2 linked regions of the Oryctolagus cuniculus genome follow. The protein of the gene in region 1 interacts with the protein of each later gene in a biochemical or structural test. Links are inferred from orthologs where the notes say so. Each region holds a gene or a part of one and is shown on either strand. Other genes may lie near its edges.

Region 1 (3,500 bases):
CTGCTCCAAATACCAGAATTACATCATGGAGGGCGTGAAGGCCACCACTAAGGATGCATCGCTTCAGCCAAGGTAAACGACCCAGTCGAGCCGGCAGGTGGCGGTCAGCTTCGGCTGCACAGATTTGGACGCTTCACATGCCTGAGTTTGGGGGAGTGGAGCTCCGATTGTTAGTCTGGCCAAAGTCGGCTTCAAGTGGGGGGACTGTCTGCTGGTCACTTCAGATGTTAGCCCATTCAGCATGTGGCCTGGTCAGGGTGGGGCTGTCCCATACCCAGTGGGTGTGGCTCCTTTGTGGGACGGACAGTGGTTGAAGCTGCATGGCAGGGTGCCCGCGGAGAGCTTCTCACCTTTCCCATGTCTGTCTGCCAGGAACGTCCCAAACCGTTACACCTTTCCTTGTCCTTACTGTCCTGAGAAGAACTTTGATCAGGAAGGACTTGTGGAACACTGCAAATTATCCCACAGCATGGACACCAAGTCTGTGGTAAGGACTTTTTGGTTTTTTTTACTGTATTATTGGGGAAAAAATTCAAACTTACTGAAAAATGGTGAACTCCTGATTCACGGATTATTAACATTTTACCACCTTGGCTTACCCGGCCCGTCCCTGTATTGTTGGCTAATCGTCTGGGACTAAGTTATAGAGATGCCATGACCTTTGCCCGAAATCCTTAAATGTATATCCCGAGAGTGTTTTCTTTTAAAATAGAAAAATGCACACTTTTGGGGACAGCAGGCTAAGCCACTGCTTAGGAAGACGCATCCCATGTCCAGGTGGTAGTTCTAGTCCCTGCTGTTCCATTTCACATCCACCCTCCTGGTAACAGATCCTGGATCGGAAGTGAAGCAGCCGGGTCTGAACGGGCGCCCTTGGGGATCACGGCACTGCAGGCCACTGCTTCACCCGTTGTGTCAGTCTTAAAAAAAAGAGGCTGGCGCTGTGGCATAGTGTGTAAAGCTGCCAGCTGCCACCGGCAGTGCCAGCCTCTTTTTTTTTTTTTTTTTTTTGATAGGCAGAGTTAGTGCGAGAGACAGAGAAAGGTCTTCCTTTATCCATTGGTTCACCCCCTAAATGGCCGCTACGGCCGGCACACTGTGCCAATCTGAAGGTAGGAGCCAGGTGCTTCTCCTGGTCTCCCATGGGGTGCAGGGCCCAAGCACTTGGGCCATCCTCCACTGCACTCCCGGGCCACAGCAGAGAGCTGGCCTGGAAGAGGGGCAACCGGGACAGAATCCGGCGCCCTGACCGGGACTAGAACCCGGTGTGCCGGCGCCGCTAGGCGGAGGATTAGTCTAGTGAGCTGCAGCGCTGGCCCATCCGCTGCTTCTCTCTTCTCTGCCTGCAACAGCTGGGACTGGCCAGGTGAAAGCCGAGAGCCAGGCGCTTCATCCCAGCCTCCCACGCGGGTGGCAGGGCCCAGGTCCTCAGCCATGCACTGCCTTCCCGGGTGCACTAGCAGTAAGCCGGAATTCGAGCTGGCACTCTGCTATTGCTGTGAGGCTTAACTCACTGTACCACAGTGCCACCCCACTGTGCCTTTCAGGTAGGTGAAAATAATCCTGTTTTTTAATATGTATTTATTTGAAAGGGTTTTAATCCACTGGTTCACTCCCCAAATAGCCACAACAGCCAGGGCTGAGCCAGGCTGAAGACAGGAGCCTAGACCTTCATCTAGGTCTCATGTGGGTGCAGAGGCCCAAGCTCTCAGACTGTCCTCTGCTACTTTCCCAAGGGCGTTAACAGGCAGCTGGATTGGAAGTGGAGTAGCCAGAACTTAACCCATATAGGATTCCGGTGCCACAGGCAGAGGCTTAACCTACACCACAGCACCGGCCCTGCTGTTTCATTTAAATACCACAGAATGATTAGAGAAACCAGGACACAAACCAGTGCCCACTGGGGATGCCAGTGTTACAGGCAGAGGCTTTACTATGCTATGCCACAATGCCGGTCCCGAAAGAGATCTTCCATCTGCTGGTTCATTCCCAAAATGGCCACAACAGCCAGAACTGGTCCAGGTCAAAGCCAGGAGCCTGGGGCTCCATCTGGGTCTCCCACGCGGAGAGGAGGGACCCAAGGACTTGGGCCATTTTTGCTGCTTTTCTGGGCACAGCAGCAGGAAGCTGGAAGGCACTTGAACCATCACTCTGGAAGGGATGCTGGCATTCTGGCATCGTAGGAGCAGCTTAGCTCACTGTGCCACAACACCGACCCTAGCAGTGTTAGATTTCTCCCTTCGTGTAATGGACCTTGGTCTTCCTGTGTCATTGGGTATCTACCTCCTCTATCATTTTAATTTTCCAATTTATCTCCTACTGCTTCTCTTGATCTCTGCACTCCATTGAATGGGCAGGCTTCAGCTTCACTGCCATAGAAAGCGGTGTACTCCGCAAAGCCAAGGTTTCAACTCCATCTTCAAGAGGCTTTAAGAGTTCTTAATATTATTACTGGAGCTGGCGCTGTGGCGCAGCAGGTTAACGCCCTGGCCTGAAGTGCCAGCATCCCATATGGGCGCTGGTTCTAGTCCTGGCTGTTCCTCTTCTGAGCCCACTCTCTGCTGTGGCCTGGGAAAGTAGTAGAAGATGGCCCAAGTCCTTGGGCCCCTGCACCCGTGTGGGAGACCCGGAGGAAGCTCCTGGCTCCTGGCTTTGGATCAGCTCAGCTCTGGCCATTGAGGCCGTCTGGGGAATGAACCTCTCTCTGTAACTCTTTCAAATAAATAAAATACATCTTTAAAAAATTAACTAATTACTAATTGGAAGAGAGACATACAGATACACAGGGCCCACCTGCCTGCCCTTACTTCCCATCTTCTGTTTGAAAGTTAGACGGGTCTAGTGGCTCAGACCCTGCCCCCGTAGAGGAATGCACGGCTCCTGCCTGGCTGCAGTCCCGACTCCAGTCCGCTGTGCACTGGGAGGCAGCAGGTGCAGCTCAGGTGCTTTGGCCCCTGCCATGCACAGGAGAGACCTGATTGAGTTCTGTCTGCAGCCTGGCCCAGCCCTGGTGGTTGTAGGCATTTGAGGAATGAACCAGTGGATGGTCACGCTGTCTTTACAGCTGCGCCTCTCAAATTTAAAATAAAACAGATTCAGCTGTATTGGTAGCCATGGAAGCTAAAGTAGGAGGTTGAGTAAAACGGTGAGGCACTGTAGTTCACTTCCTGCGCTGTCTCCGCCCTCCTTGTTAGAAGTGGTGGGTAGTGCACCCCCCAAGTTCAAGTCAGGTGCCCATTAACGAGTCAGTGGCAGAACCAGTCCTGGCTCCTAAACCTGTTCTCTTCACTGTATCAGGAATGGTCTTCGTTGAGTGTTCATTAGTATTTGAATAGCGCTCAGCTACGTATATGGAAAAGTGCAAAATCATGATTCAGAGCCATTTAAGCTTTTTGTTGAGATTCAGCTACGTCCTCTTAGGGCCATTCTTCACTCTTGATATGGATGCTTTTCCATGTTATACGTTTTCACGGCCCCACACCTTTCCACTTTGCAGCTCT
Region 2 (3,500 bases), on another chromosome or scaffold:
TGACACTCATGGGGTCCCCGGGCCGATCTGTGGAAGGAAGGGGTTTTGGGAGATTGTCCAGGACCATTCCCACCCTCCCATTCAGAAGGAGCTGTGGAGTGGGCTCGGAGGGCCAAGCTGGGGGCGGGAGCACACCTGTAACTCAGCAGCACCTGGCCTGGGAACAACAGCTTTGCTCTCCACCTGCGGTGGGGACCAGGGTGGACCCTCCCCGGACAGCTCTGCTCCAGCCACAACCACCTCCTCGCCCTCTGGGCGCTGAATGGGCTCAAGGACAGCAGAGGGGTCAGGCCAGGGAGAGAAGAGAGGAAGGGAGAGCGAAGCCGCTAGCCTGCATCTGCCCGGGCACTGCGGATGCCAAGAGCTGTCCAGCTCCTGTCCGTGGCCCGCCCGCACGCCAGCAACTTGGCCGCACTCTGCCCTGGTCCCCTGGGCCTTGAGGCTGCAGCCACACAGTTTCCTTCCCCGCAAGCTGCCAGCAGTAAGAACCCAGGAACAAAAGGAGGCGTTTCCTGGGGACATCCGGGCAGTGGAGGCTCCCAAGGCTTCATTCCCTGCGACCTCCTGCAGGCGGGCAGGTGGTTGGCCGGCACTCTCAGAGACCTGGGCAGCTCTCACTGCCACGGCTCGTGCAGGGACTCTGAGCATGGCAGGAGCGCTGTCCTAAATGTCTGGGGACCAAGCAGGGGCAGCAGCAAATAAGCAGCAATAACGACAATGACAAAATTCAGAATTTGGTCCCTATTATCTTGTTTTTAAAACAACTTTGCTACCCTGGGAGGCAGCAGGTGATGGCTCACATAGTTGTGGGAATCCGTCCCAGAATCATCACCCCCCAAAAGTCTCCTTTGTAAGCCGTCCCTCCTGGCTGCTCCCCTCCCCCTCCCCTGGCACCGTGAGGACTCTGTACAGCATCCCCACCTCTAAGTGTCATGATGTCGCATTGTTCCGACTCGGGGCCAGCGTGGGCAGGGCTGGGTAGCGGGCTTCATCGCCACACCTGCAGTGCTGAGCAGCTCTGGAGAGCTGGCCTAGGTGTGAAGTCCAACTCCACGCTGGATACCATGGCGATGAGCCCGCAGCTCTCTCTCCCCTATTCCTGCAGCAAAAGAAGTGTGGCTTCTGCCCATTTCGCCCTCCATGAGGCCCACTGCCTGAGGTTCCTGGAACTCTGCCCTGAGTGCAAGGAGCCCATCCCGGGGGTGAAGATGGCAGACCATCTCAAGGAGCACCAGCAGGTGAGGGGGCGGCAGGACGAGACCTGGGGGCCGGGGCCAGTGTCCGCTCTCCCTGCAGCCATGTGGGCGGGACCTGGGGGGGCAGTGTCTGCTCTCCCTGCAGCCATGTGGACGGGACTTGGGGACGGGGGCCAGCGTCCACTTTCCCTGCAGCCATGTGGACGGGACTTGGGGACCGGGGCCAGCGTCCGCTCTCCCTGCAGCCATGTGGATGGGACTTGGGGACCGGGGCCAGTGTCCACTCTCCCTGCAGCCATGTGGACGGGACTTGGGGACCGGGGCCAGCGTCCACTCTCCCTGCAGCCATGTGGACGGGACTTGGGGACCGGGGCCAGTGTCCACTCTCCCTGCAGCCATGTGGGCGGGACCTGGGGGGGGGCAGTGTCCGCTCTCCCTGCAGCCACATAAATGGGGCCTGGGGGCCGGAGCCTGCATCCTGCTCTCCCTGCAGCCACTTGGCGTCGCCCCATTCAGTCCCTGTCTGTGACAAGGACAGTTTCCATTTCCAGTCCTTCCCCTACGGCTGCCATACAGCAGCCACACCAGGGGTCCCTGGTGCAGGAAGGGTTGCTGGTTCTTTGAACATTCGCGCGGAAGGGAAGCAGGAAGGGGGGCAGCCTGGCTGATTTCTGTTCCCTGCTTTTCATGTCAGCGCCTCCTGAGGCCCCTCATCTCTCTGTCTGGAGTCCTCAAGCCAGAGTGATGGCGAGAGAGGGGGGGAGAGAGAAAGAGATCTTCCATCTGCTGGTTTGCTCCCCAAATTCCTGCAACGGCTAGAGCTGGGTCAGACTGAAACCTGGCGCCTGGAATGCCATCCAGGTTTTTCCTGTGGGTGGCAAGGGCATGAGCACTTCGCCCACCCTCTGCTGCCTTCCCAGGCACATCAGCAGGGAGCTGGATTGGAGGCGGAGCAGCTGGGACTAGAACTGGTACTCTGATATGGGATGCCAGTGTCGCAAGCAGCAGCTTAACCCACTATACCATAACGCCAGCCCCTAGGCAACCATCTCAATTCTAACTGGGCCAGCAGGCACTTCTTGAGCACTAAGCTGGGTGATGATGGAGGGAGATTGAGGTAGCTGTACCCAATCCCTACTCTCTAGGAGCTCATGGACACAAAACTGCAGCTGCATGAGCCAAGGCAGATGTGAGGCGGGTCGTGGGTGTGTCTCTCAAACAAAATAGAAGTTTTAAAAAGGTGGGTGGGCATCTGGCACAGCACTGAAGGCACCAGTTGGGACGACTGGTGGGACGACTCCATGCTGGAGTGCAGGGTTGGAGGTCCTGTGTCTGGATGTTTAGGTCAGTTGTGCAATGTGCCATCAGACTGCTGGAATTATAGCAGGGGAGTCCCTGTGTGATTCCTCCGTGACATCAAGCTGGCCACCCTGTGGAAAGGGCAGTGAGAGGGGAGGAGAGGCCAACAGTTAACATGTTCACCGGGCTGTTCCCTCCTTGCTCAGGTAGGCTCAGAGAGCAGTGAGAACCAGGCCACCAGGGCGCCCGGGTGCACCTGCCCCCGATACTGCTCGGAAGGGCTTTCCACAGTCCCCAAGTCCAAGAGAGCTCATCTTTCCCTAAGACAGACAGTCCCGCACTCCGGCCCTTCCCCCTGCTTCCTCCGATCAGCTTCCGTTCCCTAGGAACGTGGGCTCATGTCCTTGACCTGTCTGTGGTCAAAGAGGCAGGCCCAAGACCACGCCCTTCCTGCTGCCTCCCACAGCCCGAGGAGTGCCTGGAGCGACCCGACAAGCACCTGGAGCAGCCCGTGGAGTGCAAGTTCTGCGAGCTGGCCGTGCACCTCAGCAAGCTGCAGACCCACGAGCACCACTGCGGGGCGCGGACCGAGCGCTGCCCGGACTGCGGCCGGTTCGTCATGCTCCATGAGCTGGCCCAGCACAGAGGTGTCTGTGGGGGCAGGCAGGCTTCCGGGCTCAGGAAAGGTAGGCAGCTCAGGCTGGGGGGAGGAGGGGCTTCTCTCCTGGGCGGGATGCGAGGAAGGGAAGCCGTGTGCATTGCGTGTGTCTCAGCTCAGCTGGCTCTTCCAGACCTTGCTGTGTGTCTATCCTGGTCCAAGGTGACCAAGAGGCCAGGGGGTGAGGGCCTGGAGTCCCACAGGGAGTGAGGAGGCCACAGCCATCGGTGGAACAGATCTTGTGTTGATGTCATCGGTTGTTCTGGTGACATGGAGTCAGCCTAAAACCCCTCGGATGGTAATCTTTGCTGGTAGATAATCTACCCAGGATCAACTGTGCCCGACGA

Evidence for each region.
Region 2: the proteins of RNF114 (region 1) and XAF1 form a complex in vitro, tested with the Homo sapiens proteins (2 studies listed by BioGRID). The link is inferred for Oryctolagus cuniculus from reciprocal best matches to the Homo sapiens genes RNF114 and XAF1.

The regions. Positions count from the first base shown.
Region 1 is NC_091442.1:10,686,664-10,690,163, reverse strand, and holds part of RNF114 (E3 ubiquitin-protein ligase RNF114), read left to right. Parts: coding exon 1-72; intron 73-372; coding exon 373-487; intron 488-3,500. UniProt on the Homo sapiens protein: E3 ubiquitin-protein ligase that promotes the ubiquitination of various substrates. In turn, participates in the regulation of many biological processes including cell cycle, apoptosis, osteoclastogenesis as well as innate or adaptive immunity.
Region 2 is NC_091448.1:49,844,149-49,847,648, reverse strand, and holds part of XAF1 (XIAP-associated factor 1), read left to right. Parts: intron 1-1,105; coding exon 1,106-1,238; intron 1,239-2,961; coding exon 2,962-3,181; intron 3,182-3,500. UniProt on the Homo sapiens protein: Seems to function as a negative regulator of members of the IAP (inhibitor of apoptosis protein) family. Inhibits anti-caspase activity of BIRC4. Induces cleavage and inactivation of BIRC4 independent of caspase activation.